2 linked regions of the Ovis aries genome follow. The protein of the gene in region 1 purifies or fractionates together with the protein of each later gene. This does not show direct contact. Links are inferred from orthologs where the notes say so. Each region holds a gene or a part of one and is shown in the gene's direction. Other genes may lie near its edges.

The links.
Region 2: the proteins of AXIN1 (region 1) and AMER1 purify together in Homo sapiens (affinity purification with mass spectrometry; 4 studies listed by BioGRID and IntAct, with this or other methods). This does not show direct contact. The link is inferred for Ovis aries from reciprocal best matches to the Homo sapiens genes AXIN1 and AMER1.

Annotation. Positions count from the first base shown.
Region 1 is NC_056077.1:882,927-888,298, reverse strand, and holds the start of AXIN1 (axin-1), read left to right. Parts: upstream 1-2,014; 5' UTR 2,015-3,123; intron 3,124-5,367; exon of another isoform or gene 5,368-5,372. UniProt on the Homo sapiens protein: Component of the beta-catenin destruction complex required for regulating CTNNB1 levels through phosphorylation and ubiquitination, and modulating Wnt-signaling.
Region 2 is NC_056080.1:46,617,829-46,623,074, reverse strand, and holds the start of AMER1 (APC membrane recruitment protein 1), read left to right. Parts: upstream 1-1,858; 5' UTR 1,859-2,028; intron 2,029-2,041; exon of another isoform or gene 2,042-2,186; intron 2,187-5,246. UniProt on the Homo sapiens protein: Regulator of the canonical Wnt signaling pathway.

The DNA of each region.
Region 1 (5,372 bases):
TCGAGGGACAGCAAGTGAGGGCGTGGGTGTGGGCGAGGGCAGCTGGTCCACCTGGGCACACTTCCCCATCTCCTGGCACCAGTCCCCAGCTGTGAGCTTGGGGAGTGGCCCTGGTCCCCGGACTGTGCAGGCTCGAGGGGGTGGAATGAAGTGTGTCAGGCCGAAGGAGAAGGGATAACCAACAGATGGGTGTGAGTTCTCATTGCCCCAGGAGAGGCCTTCAGGGATGGGACAGCTGGGACAGGGAACAGGGAGGACAGGGGTGCCAGTCCACCCAGTATGAGGTCAGTGCAGCAGGAGGGCAGGCGTCCCTCGGGGACCTGGCCCCTCTGCCTGGATCTGCCACTCCTGGGGAAAGCCCTGGGAGTGGGCGGGGCCGGGCGGCCAGTCCTCTGTTGGTGATGTGTCTGAGACACTCGACCTGGACCACGGCCAGCGTAGGGTCCAGCTCGTGGCCTATGCCTGTTCATGGAGGGCTGCACACAGACCTCTGAGGCCAGCAGCAGGTCGGCACCCTTACTTGCTGAGGAGGGCACTCTGGCTCAGGGAGGTGCCCGGAGACTCTGGCTGGCCTGAGGCAGGCAGGTGCTCAAGTATTCAGGGAGGTGGGAACTGGACAGGGGGTCCTGAAGCACCAAGCTGGGGAGGTGTGGGGCTGGGGTGGGGGGGCGCTGCTCGCCCCTCCTCCTTCCCAGGCCCCAGTGGCTGCTGGGAGCCACCTTGGACATCAAACCCTCAACACCTGGCCTCCGTCCCTGAGCCTAACAGACAGCCCTGTGGTCAGAATCCACCAGAGAGGCAGTACAGGAGGGTGGCCCTGCCATGCCCCTTGACCTGGAGTGACGCGACCCCCTCAGGACACAGGGTAAGACCCGAGCTGGGCACGTGTGGAGGGCACCCTGGGATTAAGTGTGCTGGCTTGGGACTTGACCCTTGACTCCTAGGGGCCAGCAGGGGTATGGGGGCTCTCAGGTCTGCTGGGTGAGTCATCTGTTCAGGGACCCTGGGATGAGTGTGGCGCTGGCTTGTTGGGCCTGCGACTCGGGGCTCCAAACAAGCGGAACAAGCAGGTGACCCCTGCAGCTGGTTGTCTTTGAGAATGCCCGCAATGGCAGGGTGCTCAGAATGCTTCCTTCTCCACTCTGGGTGGGACCGCCTGGCCTGAGAGAGGTCTGGGTAGGATGAAACACCTCCTAGGAGTGGAGACCACTGGGACTGGATGACAGAAAGCAGCAGGGTCAGAAAGTATCGGCTGCGCCACTGAACTGGCCTTGGAGCCAGCTTGTCTGAGGAAAGCCCTGCTCCTGTCCCCTGCCCTCCCTGCTTGGCACTTAGGCTGAGGTGGCTACTGGTTGACCTGTCTGTGGCAGCTTTGGCTGCAGGCTGGAGAGAGAAGTCCAGGCAGTAAGAGGGATGCAGAATGCCAGCCTGAAGGACACTCCTGCCTACAGGTATGAAGGGCGAGAGGAGCCGGACACAGGTGGAAAGAGGTGGAGGACCTGTCAGAGGCCAAGCCTGGGCTCAGAAAGGCCCAGACGGGTGGCCACGGAGCCGGCTGGCCCAGGAGGCGTACCTCCTTGCCGGTCCTAGGACAGACTCTCGGGGGCAACCACAGCAGTCACACCCAGCCTGACACTGCCTCAGGGATCAGCTCTGTCCCGTAGCCCAAGGTCCTCGCCCTGCAGCTGTCTCTGTTGGATTAATTTGTACCGACCGTTGATGGGAAGATAGCCTGCTGCAGAGCTTCCTGGCGTTCCTAAGATCACAACATTAGTGTCCTTGTGGTCCTTCCTGACACACGAAGAAACCGCAGCCCGGCCCCAATCCCCTCCAGTGTGGGTGCTCTGGGGTGGTTCCCGCCTTTACAGGCATGTCCTCTGCACCCACCCAGGCGGGTACCGTGTGTGTGGGCTCTGAGCCTTTCTACTTGGTGTGTATCTCACGCCCTTGGTGTGACGACTCCGCATCCTTTGTCAAACTTGTGATGGGGGCACACCCGCTCCCCCCACCCGCTCCGAGCTCAGAGCTGATGGAAAAAGCACACTTGGACAAGATGCAGAGCCCCGGGGGCCGGGTTTATGGCCAGAAAGGCAGGTGGCTCCTGCGGCTGGGGCCGCCTCTTGGAAGTCCGCGTGCCCTCGTCAGAATGGATGAGCCAAGGCCTCCTTCTGCTTCAGGTCCTCACCTGCCTGCCCACTGCCCACCCCCACCATGCACACCTGTGACCAGGCAGAGGCGCAAGAAAATGCAGAACCCAGAAGAGGCTCTGCCTGCGAAGCAGGACTGCCTCTACAAGGCCGACTCAGAGCAGCCTCTTCCTTGTCCTCCCCTCCTGGGAGGCGGTGCGGACCTCATGAGCAGTAGCCCATCCCGGGGGCTCGTCCCTCACATGTGGCATCAGGCTTGATGCCCCTCAGCGTGCCTCCTCAGTCAATCACGGATGATTCCTGTGGATCATTTCTTAGGATAAATGGTCTTCCTCAGCCAAGTGGACAAACACCTGTAAGGCTTCAGAGCTCACTGTGTTTCAAATATTCCTTTTATGTCTTAAGTTGAAGAAAATAATTTCTTTTCTGGTTTTAAGTTTTTCATTTAGTTCCTGGAAAGCCTGAACACACGTCATCCACAGTTTATCACATCAAAGCCTGTAGCGGCAGACTGCTGCCCCTGGGGAGGGTGCATCGGAAAGGCCCTCTGTAGGAGAAAGGGCTCCAGCCTGCACTTCCTTGTTCCCAGGCTCCCGCGGCTTTGTCTGATCACAGCTCTGGGTGGCTGACGCAGTCCCTCTGACCAGCCACCCCTGTTCCAGCACAGGCCCCCAGGACTGCCCTCCCTGCCTCCCTCTCTCCAGAGCCTCCCTGAGCTCCCTCCTGTGGGGTCCCCCGTCCCCACCCTGAGTGCCCACAGCCACAGCCCATGGAAGTGGGCTGCAGCCTTTCCTCGAGGTTTTCTGACTCCCTTCCTGTCCCTACAGGGTGAGGGCCCCGAGGAGCCGGAGGTGCGAGGGCCCTGCTCTGGTCCCAGGGCCTGGGGACATCTGCCACCATGGGCCAGGAGGAGGATGGATGTGGACACGACCCTGGGAGCCTGGCCTGGCCACAGCAGCAGCTCTGCAGAACCAAGGCAAGCACTGGGGGCCCGTGTCTGGTGGTGGGAAGACAGCCTGAGGACCGATGTCCTGGAGGCCCTGCTGTCTGTCCAGCCCACCCAGGACTCCTGCAGCCCAAACAGACCCTGTTGTGCCACTCTGCCTCTAAGACTCTGCAGCTGAACAGAGCCAGGGAGAGGCTGCAAAGCCATCTCCTGTACCAGCCCTGGGAAGCCTGGGGCCATCCAGGGGATGTGAGAGAGTGACACCTGCCACCAGGACCCTAGTCGGTCCAGCTGGGTTCATCAGTGCTGTTCCTCTGCGGTGCTGACCCACCGTAGCCACTGCCGCTGCCCAGCCTGTCCTGGGTGTGGTGACAGCCCTCAGAGGTGGCCTGGGCCATCAGCAGGCTGGGGCACTTCCCTGATGGCCTCCTCCCTCACGGATGAAAGCCTGGGTGTTGGAGGAGGCTGTACTGAGCCCTAGAAAGCTGGTTGCTAGAGCTGGGGTGCTTCCGTGTTGTGCACCTCAGGCAGGTGCCAGTCGTGGGCAGCTGCGCAGGAGGCTGGCTGGTGGGGGAGTGCCCAGAGCCTGGACTTCCTCCCTTCGTAGTGGGCAGTGGGGGCAAGTAGTGTCCCTGGGAAGAGGTAGTGGCATCAGAGATGACCTCAGGGATTGGGGGCAAGTGACCAGAGGCAGCCAGGGAAGAGCCCTGAAGACTGTGAGGGCCCCAGGGAGCAGGCTGGCTGCTGGGGACAGCCTAGGACAGAGGGACTGGGGGTGCTAGGGACAGCATGGGACAGGTGAGGGACTCGGGGCCCCAGGTCTGGAGGACGTGAGCAGATCCCTGTGTGGCCTGAGCTTCAACCTGCTTGTGTGTACAAGGGGGTACAGCCAGGCCCTGGGGCCCCTGGGAGCATTTCTCAAGGTGCCCGGTCTGACATGGCACAGCTGGAGGATGAGGTCCTGGGTGATCGTGGGGGTGGACTGCAGGGGCACTTCCTGGTGCCCACATCTCTCCTCTGGGAGGGGCTGGTGATGGGTGGGCACCCCAGGAGCTAGCCAGCGGGGCTTGCAGAACAGGCCAGGAGGCCATGGCGACAGTGAGGGTGAGGGAGTTGTCTTGCAGGTGTGGGGACATCAGGAAGCCCTTGCTCTCAGGCTGGCCTGGGCCAGTGGGACCTGTGGGGCAGTGGTGGGAAGTGAAGCCCCTGCCAGGACCCTGGATGGTGCCTGAGTGAAACCCAGGCGGGCTGGACCAGCGGGGATGGGGCCAGGCCATCCCGCCCACAGCTCTCTCTGGAGGTTGGAGCTCTCGCCCTAGTGACAACTAGCACTCCCTGGATGCCTTCTGTGTGACCTGACGGGGACTCAGGGAGGGCAGAGCCCAAGCCCACCTTCTCAGGGTCCTGGCTGACCAGGAGGCAGTAGGCATGGAGAAGGGGGACAACGAGGCTGTATGTCACTCGGGGCTTAGCTCCTGGTCAGCCTGGCTTGGCCCTGCAACCGTCCAACTCTTGGACACCTGCTTTCTTCCATGCCAGGGGCAGTCGGTGGCCGTCCTTCTTCGAGAGTCTTCCGGGTCAGGGAGCTCGGTGGGCGTGGCAGTCCGGCTGGGCGGGCCGGGACTGGGGTGCTGACCTCTGGAGCCCTGGGTCAGTGGACACCATGTGGGAAGCAGAAAAGGGCTCCGACCTGGCATGCGTCTCCGGGGCCGCCTGAAGGCCGTCTCTCCGTTGGGCGCTCGGGGCACCCTCCCTAGTGACACAGCCCCAGGGGACCAGCGCGGTTTCCGGCACCCCCTCCGGGGTCACCCTCGACGGCGTCTTGGCCCCGCCCATACCAAGGCCCCGCCCCCAGTGACATATCTGAGGATGCCCACTCGGCCGGGCTCTGCGTCACGCCTCCCGTCCGCCTGGACGCCTTTGGCTCCGCCTCCACGCTCAGGGCCCACGCCCACGCCCAGGCCCCGCCTCCACGGCAGAGGCTCCGCCCCAGGCTCCAGGCCCTTCCCAGCGCTCGGATTCGGTCTCGCTCTCTGGCTCGGTCTCGCGCTCTGCGCCCGGCTCCCCCCGCCTTTGACCCCGCCCACTATTCGGCCCCGCCCACACAGCCCCGCCTCCACGCCGGTGGCTCCGCGCCGCGCGTTCCTCGCCCTGTCCCCGCGTTGGGCTCCGTCAGGTGCTCCCGGCCCCGCCCCCGCGCTCTGGGCACGCCCCGCGCTCCAGGCCCCGCCCGACGCTCCGGGCCCCGCCCCCGCACTTCCGGGCGGCGCCGGCGGGGG
Region 2 (5,246 bases), on another chromosome or scaffold:
AGGCATGAGGCAGTGAAGAAGTTTATGAAGGAGGTACTGGGAAAAAAGACACCTCCAAATCAGGTCCAATAAATGAGAATCAGGGCTTTACAAAACAGGAAATCACAGCTCCAGGGAAACATTACAGTCCAGCCATCTAAATGGGAAACTGAGGCTAGGGAGAAGAAGGCACTCGCCCAACAAAGTTGCACAATGAGACAGCCGCAGTCCCATTCTCTCTGACATTTATTTGGACCTAAGATGAGGAGAGGAGCTATGATGTTAAAATACTGATGTTTGTTGACAAAGTATAGAATGTCATGGAAAATCATGTAATATTATAAAAAAATTGAGTTGAACTGTCAGAGTTGGAAGACTCTATATGCTTGACCAGTTTTACACCCTCCTTGTGGAGATGGTGTAATGGTCTGACCCACAAGAGAAAACGGACTGACTAAGGTCATACAGCAAGTCTGAGGCAGAGCTGGAGCAGATTCCAGCCCTAGCAACTGTGTAACTTCCTTTGGTCCACACACACAGGGGCAGTAGTCCTCCTCTTACCAGTTTAGCAGCTGGATCTTTTCAAGGCAGATAGAACCCAATAGAACAACAGAGAGCACTCCTCCTGCAATGCAAAAAATGGCAGGCATCCTTCTCTAATCCCTCCCCCCTCCTCAACTGTATCACTTCCACCCCTCCTCGCCCCGCTCCCCTGCTTTTTAGACATTCACAGAGTTTTAGGGCTGGGCCTTCTGGATACTCTTGAGCTAGTGGTAGAACTGGATTCTTTGCTGCCTCAGTTCACCTGGCCCTGACAGCCACCAATGCCATTTAATGCCCTCAGGCTAGAGACCCAAGTTCAGGCTGGCCCCCTACCACATCCCAGACACATCAGCAGCAGGACTACTACAGGCCTCCTCATTCCACCTTCAACTTTGACCTCCAGTCTGAGCCCAGACAAGATTTTTCTCTCAATACCCAGGTTTTTCAGGGATAGGGAACTGCACAAAGCCTAGCTGAACATCAAAGGGCTGAGAGGGCCACTAGAGACTTTGGGGATCTCCTCAAGTTCCATAAAAAGTGGGAAATTAGGGTGAGAGTCAATCACGGAAACAGGTCTTTACAAAGAAGAAAAGTGAAAGCAGCCCTGGACTGGGAGCCCGGGTCCTGAATTCCAAATCTGCCCCAGTTACTAGCAGGATAGGTGACCTTGGGGAAGCACTTTCTCTTCTCTCGGCAGCAACAGACTTTTCAGTAACTGGTAGAAGCTGGACTCTATGTTAAGCCTCCAGTGTGCCGAAAAGGTGGAGGAAGCTGGGACGCTGGAGCTGCAATTGACTTTCCTGGCAGGTGGGTCCCTCTGAGCGGCTCCGGGGCAGGCGCCCGGGCCCTGATTCTATGCCTAAGGGTGGGGCAGCAAAGTGCAGAGGGTGCGTTGTAGTCCCCCAGGAACCCCAACCTCTCCACCCCGCCTGTCCCAGCTGGCCTCTCTGGAATAAACTACCGGTGGCGGCCAGCGCGCCGCGGCCCGATTGCACCTCGGCCACGGAAATAAAAGCGCCTGCAAAAGCGAAACCGGGCTCCAGAGAGCTCCATACTGACGGGACCAGCCCCTGGAGCTTACGGTGTCGCCAAGCAGCTACCCACCGGGCGTGAGAGGGTGGGGGACTGAGGAGTCCCCGCTAGGGGTTCTGGAGCCTCTCCGCCCCCAGCCAACACCACGCCCGCGCTTATTTGCATTTAAAGAGAAACACACCAAGGAAAACAGTGGGCGAGTCAGGAAACGCCTTCTCACCGTGGTGATTGGACCACACGCCTGCCAATCAGGAAGCCAATGCCCCACCCTGTGGCTGTGAAGTCCGGGGCGGGGGAGGGGTATGGGGGAGCAGTCCAGAGCCTGGGGAAGGGGAGCTGGTGCTGGAGGTGACTGGAGCCACGGCGGCGGCAGGGGCGGCGGTGGCGACGCTCTCAGCCGTAGCAGCCAAGGCTCCAGCTCCAGCCAGGGCGGCGCAAGAGACAAAAACCGGGCTGGAAACCGGACCGGGCCGGGTAAGCATTGCGCGCAGCAGGAGCCTCCGCCTGCCCGCCATACGGTGCAGTCTCGCGTGCTCCACTCTGGCCGCCTGGAAAGGAGCTCTAAGGGCTGGGCCGGTCGGCGTCCGGACCGCTCTGCGCTCCCCTTTGGAACCAGCTTTAAGGACTTTCTGGTGAGGGTCAGAGCCATGTCCTCTGAGCGCTAGAGACCGCGGCTAGAGGTGGAAAAAGGAAGGCAGGCCAGCGGACTATCCTGGGCCATGCCTTGGGGCTCTCGGGGGAGGAAGGGGACGCAACCCGCACGTGCTGCCCTGTGGTCTCGTGAGGGGAGAAGCCAACCAGCACCCCCAGCGGTGCTTTTGTAGGCCCGGAGCTCTACAGCTTTGTTGTAGCACATTAGCTGGAACAGCTGTGTTAGACGAGTATCGCTCATCACAGCGACCCGGCTGCCGACCCTCCCCTTCCCGGCGCATCTCCTGCCTTTCCCTCTCCTCTAGGGACGAAGCCTACGCGCTGGCCTGGGCCCGACGGGTAGTTGCATTGGCGTGGGTTGGGGTATCTACTTTGTCTCCTCCCTCGAGGAGCTCAGTTGGGCCTGTGGGCTGCTCACTTCCCTTTGGAACCTCGGCCTTGAGGCCCCAACCAGCCGCGCCCCCTGCTCCTAGGCTTCCGGGCGCATCTGGCGCCCGCCCCCGCGGACAGAGAGGCTGGCAACCCATCTCTCGCAGTACCTTGGGTTAGGGCAGCAGCTCAAGCTAGTCCTTGGGTTAGAGCTGCAAGGCCGCTTTGTCAAACTCCCCCTCGCCCCCGGGCCTCTCTCCTGTCCCTGCTCCCCCTCCCCCGCCCAGCCTCGCCTCCTGTCCCCTTGGAGGGTACTGGCCGCGCTTTTCTCTCCAACCTCTGGTTTAAAAATAGCGATAACCATGGTGTGATGTGGTGTGGTGTGTGTGTGTGGCGGGGGGCAGGGGGCGGGGGCGCGGTTCTGTGCCATAGGTCGGGGGAGCAATTATTGTAGTAGAGAAACAGCCGTTTGGGTGTGTGTGAGAGAGCTAGAAAAGCAGCCAAATCCTCCAACTTCAAATTTACTGAAAATACCCAGCCTTATGGGCCGTTGTCATTGTCTGCTGCAGACACCTCTGACTGGTGACCATCAGACTTGGTCTAGGCTCTCCTGGCAGTGAGGGGCTGTGCTAGGCGTGCCACAGCTCAGGACAGGCCCTGCAGAGCCAGCTTCCATGGGCCAAGCTTGCCTTGGCATGGGCCACGGGAGTCAAGGTGAACCTTTGGCCCTCACACAAATATCTCCTGCAGCTTTACCTGCCTGCTGCATTCACATGGGCTTGATGGAGGGTCCTGCTTTGTTGGACTCCCCAGCCACCCCTTGAGGAGTCCAGCAGAGCTCCCTCCCTCAGTGCAGCTCCCCTCATTTGGCCCCACCCACTGCTCAGTCTGAGCGGAAGTGTGCCCCTTTCTGTGGACTCTAGGCCTTTCTGAGGAACAAGAGGGAGGGAGCTATCTGTGCTGTGCTTAGTTGCTTAGTCGTGTCTGACTCTTTGCCATGCCATGGACGTAGCCCACCAGACATCTCTGTCCATGGGGATTCTCCAGGCAAGAATACTGGAGTGGGTTGCCATGCCCTCCTCAGAGGATCTTCTCAACTGTAGGATCGAACCCAGGTCTCCTGCATTGTAGGTGGATTCTTTACCATCTGAGCCACCAGGGAAGCCCAGGAGCTATCTAGGGACTTGAAAGGCTCTTCTTGGACCTTTAACACACCTCTGAGGGTGGAAAACTCTGTACACTACAGGTCCCTGGCAAAGCCTAGGTACCTATGAGAGGAGAAAATGAGACCCAGTAGATCCCTCACTTTAATGGAAGGCTGGCTGGGGACTTTTGTGACACTAGCAAGAACTGCAGATAGGACACTACAGTCACCTCCTCTCACTTTGACCAAGCACCAATACAATCCCCTACTTGCATCTGGGCATCTGTGGTTCAGAGCTAGACATGTCCTCTGCACTGTCTCAAACCAGCAGCCACCCAACATACCTGCCCTATATGACACCCCTCCCCACACTCAGACTCACTCACCCTACAATGTTCAAATTCTCTTCCCTCTCAGCTCTGGGCCTATCTCCTTAGTGTCTTTCCATCTCTTGCAATCCATGATGACCTCTTCTTTCTCAGAACTCTGAACTCCTTCAAGCTACCTGTATCCCTTGGGATTTTCTGGCTTAGGAAAAAAACTATAATTAAATTTCCCTGCCTCTACTTTGTTTCCCTGATACCATGGATGTCTGGGTTCTGCCCAAACTTCTTACAGGGGTAAATGAAACCTGAATCTCAGCCAAAGTTCCATGAAACCCTAGCAATGCATAGCGGTGATGAATGCTCGGGAAGGACTTAATGTCTGTCAAGCTTTGGAGAAGACCTTTATGTTCCCAACTGGCACTTGTCCTGATTCACATGAAAATGATTAGAAAAATGATACTCAAGTCTCATGTATTTATTGAGTATACATAATGAAGATTGAGAAGGGGAATGGGTTTCATCTACAATTTAAAAAAAATAAAGCACAATGTCTATAATCTCAGGACCTGCATTGCCCAGTCCCCAGCTAATTCATGAATCTAGAGACACCTGCCATGGAGAGAGATGAGAGATCTGTGTGTACATGGGATATTGTCCTGGGAAGCCTCCAGAAATTAGAGGGGTTTTGGTTAAGCAAAGGATAGTTGTATAAGCAAAATTAGGAATGAGAGGGAGTGGCTGGCAAGCAGGATGAGTGAAGTGACAGTCTTTTCTGGTTGAGATTGTATGGCTCCAAGGTAGAAAGGCCCCTTACAATCTCAACCAGAAAAGACCCAGAACTTCCAGATGTTCAAGCTGGATTTAGAAAAGGCAGAGGAACCAGAGATCAAATTGCCAACATCCGTTGGATCATAGAGAAAGCAAGGGAATTCCAGAAAAAACATCTGCTTCATTACTCTGCTAAAGCCTTTGACTGTGTGGATCGCAACAAATTGTGAAAAATTCTTCACATGATGGGAATACCAGACCACCTTACCTGCCTCCTGAGAAACCTATATGCAAGTCAAGAAGCAACACTTAGAACTGGACATGGAACAATGGACTGGTTCAAAATTGGGAAAGGAGTACATCAAGGCTGTATATTATCACCCTGCTTATTTAACTTGTATGCAGAGTACATCGTGTGAAATGCTGAGCTGGAT